3 linked regions of the Kluyveromyces lactis genome follow. The protein of the gene in region 1 purifies or fractionates together with the protein of each later gene. This does not show direct contact. Links are inferred from orthologs where the notes say so. Each region holds a gene or a part of one and is shown in the gene's direction. Other genes may lie near its edges.

Region 1 (3,600 bases):
AATTTCTCCGGTGCTGAAATTGAGGGTTTGGTGAAGAGTGCTAGTTCTTTTGCAATCAACAAGACTGTAAATATCGGAAAAGGGGCAACCAAACTAAAAACCAAAGACATTGCAAACATGAAGGTGACTAGACAAGATTTCTTGAATGCGTTAGATGAAGTGACTCCTGCGTTTGGTGTTAGTGAAGAAGATTTGAAGACTTGCGTAGAAGGTGGAGTCTTTAGGTTCTCCAACTCCGTAGACGACATTTTGAAAAACGGTGCTAGATACGTCCGTCAAGTGAGAGAGTCAGACAAATCAAGACTAGTATCCTTACTAGTGCATGGTCCTCCAGGTTCAGGAAAAACTGCCTTAGCTGCCGCCATTGCATTGAAGTCTGAGTTCCCATTTGTTAGATTAATTTCCCCTGAAGAAATAGCAGGTATGTCGGAAACGGCCAAGATCGCATACATCGACAATACCTTCAGAGATGCTTACAAATCGCCACTTAACATTCTAGTTATCGATTCGATAGAGACTCTAGTTGACTGGGTTCCAATTGGTCCAAGGTTCTCTAATAATATCCTACAAGTACTCAAGGTCTATTTGAAAAGAAAACCTCCAAATAATCGTCGTTTGCTTATCATCTCTACTACGTCCGCTTACACGGTGCTTAAGCAAATGGATATACTAAGTTGTTTCGACAACGAAATTGCTGTCCCAAACGTATCAAACCTAGATGAACTGAATAACATTATGACAGATTCCGGATTTCTTGACGATGCTGGTAGAGTCGAAGTTATCCGCAAATTATCCCAAGTTACATCTACTCTCAACGTCGGCGTGAAAAAAGTACTCACAAACATTGAAACAGCAAGACACGATGAGGATCCCGTCAATGAACTTGTTGATCTAATGGTGCAATCATCTTGAATTATACTATTCATTTCTAATATGATACATTTATATATATATATATATTATACATATGTGATATGTACTCGCGACATAGCACATAAACTTCAACTTCGTTCTCAATGATATCAACTTTTGATGAAGGTTGAAATTTTTCAGCATGCTTCCGTTGAAGATCAAAGAGAATAAGTGAAAAAAAACTTTTCAGTCTATTTATGTGAAACTTCTTCCTATTGCACCTTGCAAAATAAAGATATATACTTGGATCTAGTCTCTGATTTAGAAAGGGTAGATAACAACCGTTCTCGACCCATCGATTATACTAGCATTTCATCATGGCTCCACCGGCTTTACGTCCTGAGAATGCCATTAGAAGAGCTGACGAATTAGTCTCTGTTGGCGAGCCAATGGCTGCGTTGCAATCTCTATTTGATTTATTATCTTCAAGAAGGTCTCGTTTTGCTGATGCTGCCACTTTGGAACCTATAATCTTCAAGTTCTTGGAACTTGGTGTTGAATTGAGGAAGGGTAAAATGATCAAGGAAGGTTTATACCAATACAAGAAGCATATGCAACACACTCCCGAAGGTTTGATTTCTGTAGGTGCTGTTGCTCGTAAATTCATCGATTTGATCGAAACTAAGATGACCAACATCCAAGCGCAAACTGATGCCAAAGAAGAATCCAACAAGGACCAAGCCGAAGAGGATCTAGAGGGTGGTGTCACCCCAGAAAATTTGTTGGTTTCTGTTTACGAACAAGAACAAACTGTTGGTGGATTCAACAATGATGATGTTTCAGCTTGGTTGAGATTTACCTGGGAATCTTACCGTACCACTCTAGATTTCTTGAGAAATAATTCTCAATTGGAAATCACGTATGCGGGTGTTGTTAACAGAACCATGCAATTCTGTTACAAATATAACCGTAAGAATGAATTCAAGCGTTTAGCTGAAATGTTACGTCAACATTTGGATGCCGCAAACTACCAACAACAGAGATATGGTCACCACACTGTCGATTTATCAGATCCTGACACTTTGCAACGTTATTCTGACCAACGTTTCCAACAAGTTAACGTTTCTGTTAAATTGGAATTATGGCATGAAGCTTTCAGATCCATTGAAGATGTTCATCATTTGATGCGTCTCTCGAAGCGTGCTCCAAAGCCCTCTGTGTTGGCCAACTACTACGAAAATTTGGCCAAGATCTTCTTTGTCTCTGGTAACTATTTATTGCACGCTGCTGCATGGGAAAAATTCTACAATTTGTACTTGAAGAATCCAAATGCTTCCGAAGAAGACTTTAAGTTCTATTCATCTCAATTTGTCTTGTCCGCTTTGGCAATTCAATTGGATGACTTACCAATTGCTGGTTTCGATCCTCAAATTCGTCTATGTGACTTACTAGACCTTGAAAGTAAACCAAAGAGAAAGGATTTGATTACTGCTGCTGGTGAACAACAAGTCGTAGAGAAAGCTGACGCTGATATTTTGAAATTCTTCAATATATTGGAAACTAATTTCGATGTGAAGTCTGCTAAGTCTCAATTGTCTGCACTTTTGCCAAACTTGGTTGAAAAGCCATATTTCGCCCAATACGTGGCTCCATTGAGAAACCTATTCATCAGAAGATCCATCATTGAAGTCTCAAAGGCTCAAACATCTATTCACTTAGTTGAATTGCATGAAATGTTGTCACTGCCAGCTCCTTTCGAATTATCTGTTTTTGAACTAGAAAAATACTTAATCCAAGCTGCTATGGATGATTATGTTAGTATTTCCATTGACCATGAAACTGATACCGTTTCATTTGCCCAAGATCCATTTGACGCTTGGCAAGCATCTCTTGTTGAAGTTCCCGAATCTAGCACTTCTGATGAAGCAAAGAACTCTGAATCCGAAGAGGAAACCTCCCAAGAAACGCATGCTGATGAGGAACAGAATGAACAAGTCTTCACTCGTAACTCAGAAGTCCGTTCTAAGTTGACTGATCTATCCAAGATCTTAAAGGCCAACGAAGAATACGAAAATGGTTCTTACTATTACAGAGTCAAACTTGTGCGTGAAGAATTGATCAGAAGAAAGGAAGAAGTTATCAAGTTAGAAAAGGAAGCTGCTGAAATTAGAGCTAAGAGTAACGCTGAACGCAAGAAGAGAAGCGAAGAAGAAAACAAGATTCTTGCCAAGAAGGCTCTAGAAGAAAGGCAAAGACGTATGGCTGAGGAAAAGGCTGCTGTTGAATCTTCTATGGAGAAAGAAGCGGAACGTCGTGCTGAAGAAATGATGGAACGTGAGAGAGAAGCGATCCATGAACAAGAAATGAAGAAGTTGATTGCTGAAACTAATGCCAATGGTGTCATTCATATTGATCCAAAGGAAGCCAAGAACCTAACAAGTGATAAGATCAACCAAATGGTCATTGAACAAGTAGCCAAGAACAAGAAGGATTTGACTGAACGTATGACCTATGCCTTCAAGAAGTTAGATCACCTGGAAAGAGCCTATAGACAAATGGAATTGCCATTGTTAGAAAAGGACGCTGAAGAGCAAAAAAAGAGGGATAGAGAGAATTACGACAATTTCAAGAAGAAGTTAATTGAGACTTCCAAGGCCGACTATGAAAAGAAATTGGCTCTACATCAACGTTTGAACAAAATCTACAGTACTTTCAACCAATACAAGTCATCTGTTATCGCTGAAAAGA
Region 2 (2,292 bases), on another chromosome or scaffold:
GTAAATTGGCGATAGTATATTGGGGGTCTGGGAACCCTGTGTCACAACCTTCGGTGAAGGTTTCTCGTTCGACGTTATCATGTTTCCTGCGCCTCCTCTTCCAGTACTTACTCTATATTCACCCATGCCGATATATTGAATAATCTCCCAAAGATACTTTCTTTATTATTGCGTTGCCAAACAACTATTCCAGATTAGGTCCACTTGTCACGAGCCTATATCACAATGGTTAGATTGGACCAACAACTATTAAATGGATGCACATTTTATGTTTTCAATACTGACATGTATATATAAAAAAGGTTCGGATCGAGAGTTGATCATTAATTGTGTGTTGGTCAAGGAATCGATGATAAGGGACCGAAGGTCGTATGGGATGATGAGGAGCCTGGTGCATGAGTGACGCCAGAAAAAGTAACTATTTAATTTTGAGAAATAGGTATCAAAAATAAATTAATTTTGGAGCGTCATAATGGGCAGAACAGGATATGAATACGTCAATTGGGTACCATTAAAAGGGAAGTGATCATTAACATGTTATATGGTGCCAGTGGAACTCTGGATAGACAAAAAATCGTGGTCTATAGCAGGGTATTTTCGTTCTACATGCAATATGATGGTTTGACGTAGCAGTCTTTGCGGCAGAAGGGAGGGACGGAGGAAGGAAGACCACTGCCCCGGGTAACAGCTCCCAAAAGACCCAAAAATCGAAATTTAATGCCACCCATAAGCATCTTGACAAGAATTTGTAACGAGGACAATCAATAAACACTTGCTTTCAGCAGCTCTACCCTAACCGAGATCAATTATCAATCAACAATGTCCTGGGACGACGAAGATTTTGCAGTGCCAAGTGGCTCCAAAGAGAAGCCAGTGTTGAATTCATGGGATGATGAGTTCGCTGAAAACGACGATGAGCCGGTACTAGAGTCCTGGGAGGACGAGGAGACTGCTAAACCTAAGCCTAAGGCAGCAGCAGCAGCTGCAGCCAAGGCTCCAAAGAAAGCCTCTCCATCACCAGCTGCTACACCAGCTGCTACAAAGAACACCATGCTCGATATCGATACTCTTGACGACAAGACCCGTAAAGAACTATTGAGAAAGGCTGAACTGGAATCTGATTTGAACAACGCTGCAGACCTTTTCGGCGGTCTTGGCGTCGCAGAAGAACATCCAAGAGCCCGCGCCGAACGTGAAAGAGAACAGCTTGCAGCTGTCGCCCAACCTGCTGCGTTGACCAAGGATACCCCAATCCAATCGCACCCATTGTTCTCGGATTTGGAAACCAAAAAAGATTACCAAGAATTAAGGAAAGCGTTGGCTACCGCAATCACCTCGACAAGCAACAAATCCTTGTTGAACTACTCTGGTGGACTAGCCATCGACTTGATCAGAGACATTTCCAAACCAATGACCGTCGAAAACATCAGACAAACCATTGCGACATTGAACGTATTGATGAAGGATAAAGAAAGAGAAGAAAGACAAGCTCGTTTGGCCAAAGTCAAGGGAGGCACCGCCACAGGCGGTGCCGGTAAGAAGAAGGCCAAGGCTACTAGGGCTAACCTCGGCGGTGCCTTCAAGAAGGATAACGATTTCGACCTAGGTGGTAACGATAACTTTGACGATTTCGGAGAAGACGATTTCATGTAATAGAAAAAAAAAACAGATCTCATCACATATCATCATCACATATCATATATAGAACGTAAACAATTGAACTGTTAATATTGCCCAAGTCTTGTTCGCTAGCCCGGTCGCTCTTTCTCTCTCTCATCTACCGAATCTGAGAGCGCTCTTGACTCTCCACTGGCCCAGTGCTGCCTCAAACCAGTACAACAAGATCCGATCCACGCTACATCCCACGCTACGAAGTGAAAAATCATCATGGAAATCCGGCAACAAAGAAAAGCCAGAGAAGACCAGAGGAGAGCAAGCCGGATATGTATCAAAACAAGGGTGGATGAACCAAGTCGTGGAGTCGACGGTATATGATTGTTCCTATTCCGCGTTTGAACTGTTTTTTTTTTTCTCAGCTATGAACTTGTACTTATATATATATATATATATATATGTATAATCGAACGCCGTCTGTATTCCGCATATCAATATACTATATAATAAGGTAACAACTTGGTAGAGAAACTTGGTAACTTAGCAGCTGTTTTGTGTACTTGTTATCGCAAAGTGCAAGAAAGACCAGAAACGCAACTCAATGTTCAGGTTTGTTGGAAGATCCGGTTTTGCTTTGCGTGGTTCGCTGCAACTACGTAAGGACGTTCTGCGTTCTAG
Region 3 (2,587 bases), on another chromosome or scaffold:
GGATCCCATCAATACAAATGGTTTGTTAACGAACTCGGATCAATAATAAAACTTGATCAAAATGAAACTTTTTACATCGGCGGTTTGAATCCTGGTACAGATGGAGAGTACGCGTTGATCTGGCATGATCAAAAATGTCAAATCGTGTTCCATACTGTATCCCTAATGCCTAACGACGACAAAGCAGATCCAGATCGAACAATGAAAAAAAGACACGTTGGTAATAACTTTATCAACATATATTACGATGAACGAAAACAGGACTCGTTCCCGTTTGACATAATCAAAAGTCAATTCAATTTCATAAACCTTGTCATCAAACCAATGTGGAACGGCAAAGATGAAAAAGACTCTGTGAGTGAATTCTATAAGGTGAAGATTTACAGAGCAAAAGAAGTTCCTGGTATATTCTCTACATCCCACTTCAAAATCATGCATAGGCAGCGCCTCGCAGCGTATGTCAGGCATTTATGTACTGTCGCAAACACATTCGCACAAATTTGGCACGAGTCCGTATCGTCAGAACACTGTTCTACATGGTCTCGCAGATTCGCACACATCAAAACAATCAAAACGAGGCTAAAAAATCAATCTTCTGGCGCTTCTTAGCACGATCGCATCTAGTATGGGTTACTGGTAGTTAGTATCTCTGCAGCTTAATACCTGAGGGCCATTAGTAGTAAGTAATGAAACTTAATTATAATAGTTAGGTCACGTGTAGTACATCACTCTTAACGAGCAGATCTAAAAATTTTTCGAAACTGTGATGCGAAGTATCAAAAAATTGAAAAGATTGATCATTGGAAAGCATATACAATATTGAAGCAACAAAGCAATTTCAATATCGGTATACAAAGGTTTCCAATTAAGCTTCGAACTTACGCGAGCAGTCTCTGATACCGAGGAATTTAATTTATCTGTATCTTGCGATAGATAACGATTACAAACAGAGTATACTTTCTTTGAGTTTGTGGTATATCTTCCAATTGAAAAATTACACAAGAATTTATCATCAGAGCCATTAGATATACAGAGCAGGATGTCCACTTCCAATTGTAGGTTTTACGAGAACAAGTTCCCTGAAGTTGATGATGTTGTGATGGTAAACGTCCAACAAATCGCTGAAATGGGTGCTTACGTTAGATTATTGGAATATGACAACATTGAAGGTATGGTTTTGTTATCTGAATTGTCAAGAAGACGTATTAGATCTATCCAAAAGTTGATTCGTGTTGGTAAGAATGAAGTTGTCGTTGTATTAAGAGTGGATAAGGAGAAGGGTTATATTGATTTGTCTAAGCGTCGTGTTTCTGCAGAAGATGTCATCAAATGTGAAGAAAGATACCAAAAGTCCAAGGCCGTACATTCCATCTTGAGACAATGTGCTGAGAAATACCAAGTATCATTGGAAGATTTGTACAAAGCTTATGCATGGCCTTTAAGTCGAAAGTACGGTCATGCTTACGATGCCTACAAGATGTCCATTGTGGACCCTAACGTTTGGGATGGTATTGAATCTATCAGCGACGAAATTTTCCAAGAATTGAAGGGCCAAATCACCAGAAGATTGACCCCACAAGCGGTCAAGATCAGAGCAGATGTCGAGGTTTCATGTTTCAGTTACGAGGGTATTGATGCTATCAAAGAAGCCCTAAAATCTGCTGAAGAGTTGTCCACTGAACAAATGCAAATCAAAGTCAAATTGGTGGCTGCCCCATTGTACGTCATCACCACCCAATCTTTGGACAAAGATCAAGGTGTTCAACTATTGGAAACTGCTATCGCAAAGATCGAAGAAGTCATTCTAAAGTACAATGGTGTCTGTAATGTCACAATGGCTCCAAAGGCTGTCACCGCCACTGAAGATGCTGAATTACAAGCACTATTAGAATCCAAGGAATTAGAAGGTAGATCAGATTCCGAAGATGAAGACTCCGATTACGAATAGATGGTTTAAAGTGAAACCAAAAAAAAAGGAATTAAAAAGATATACTTCTACTGCTTCCTGTTGTTATACGTGTATACAGCGTTTCGATACCTATAAGTCTTTGCATGTCCTCTCTCCATTTCTTACTTCACTTAACATTGCATTATATTTACTGATGAAGATGAAACAAAAACAAAAGGCCATTTTCTAACAGATGTTCAGGTAATAAACCTATGTTTCCACTTGACTGTGCAGAGAACTACTCTAGCATTTGAACAGGTGGTATCTGCCAATTACTGTCAGCCTTTCCATTCGATTACGACTGGACGTTTTAAAGGATTTTTACATTAGGAAACTCCCATTTTCCTTTTTTCTAGTTTCTTCTTATAATAATAAAGGGAAGCTCCATAAATCCTTATTTTGAAAAAAGAGTGAAAAGTCTTTAAAGTACAACGAAACGAAACTTCTATGTAGTAACATTAGCACATCGGGTATTTCATTTAAACGTGTATAATAAACTAATTCGAACGTCAACGTAATTTGCATTTATTCACAGCCTAGTTGGGATCCTGTATGGTATTTCATCGCTAGGCCAGGAAAATAATAAGAAAAAAAGGGAAACACATAGACAGATATAAGTCGCAATAAGATGAGTTCAGT

What was found. The genes of interacting proteins can lie anywhere in the genome.
Region 2: the proteins of RPG1 (region 1) and HCR1 purify together in Saccharomyces cerevisiae (affinity purification with mass spectrometry; 8 studies listed by BioGRID, with this or other methods). This does not show direct contact. The link is inferred for Kluyveromyces lactis from reciprocal best matches to the Saccharomyces cerevisiae genes RPG1 and HCR1.
Region 3: the proteins of RPG1 (region 1) and SUI2 purify together in Saccharomyces cerevisiae (affinity purification with mass spectrometry, with the first as the bait; 4 studies listed by BioGRID). This does not show direct contact. The link is inferred for Kluyveromyces lactis from reciprocal best matches to the Saccharomyces cerevisiae genes RPG1 and SUI2.

Annotation. Positions count from the first base shown.
Region 1 is NC_006039.1:1,266,817-1,270,416, reverse strand, and holds the start of RPG1 (translation initiation factor eIF3 core subunit a), read left to right. Parts: upstream 1-1,229; coding exon 1,230-3,600. Other genes in the region: AAA family ATPase SEC18, read left to right, coding at 1-912.
Region 2 is NC_006041.1:1,750,652-1,752,943, forward strand, and holds HCR1 (translation initiation factor eIF3 core subunit j), read left to right. Parts: upstream 1-819; coding exon 820-1,653; downstream 1,654-2,292. Other genes in the region: PAR32 (Par32p), read right to left, coding at 1-126; DLD1 (D-lactate dehydrogenase), read left to right, coding at 2,216-2,292. UniProt on the Saccharomyces cerevisiae protein: Component of the eukaryotic translation initiation factor 3 (eIF-3) complex, which is involved in protein synthesis of a specialized repertoire of mRNAs and, together with other initiation factors, stimulates binding of mRNA and methionyl-tRNAi to the 40S ribosome.
Region 3 is NC_006037.1:1,020,487-1,023,073, forward strand, and holds SUI2 (translation initiation factor eIF2 subunit alpha), read left to right. Parts: upstream 1-1,039; coding exon 1,040-1,948; downstream 1,949-2,587. Other genes in the region: KLLA0_A11792g (uncharacterized protein), read left to right, coding at 1-609; MHO1 (Mho1p), read left to right, coding at 2,577-2,587. UniProt on the Saccharomyces cerevisiae protein: eIF-2 functions in the early steps of protein synthesis by forming a ternary complex with GTP and initiator tRNA. This complex binds to a 40S ribosomal subunit, followed by mRNA binding to form a 43S pre-initiation complex.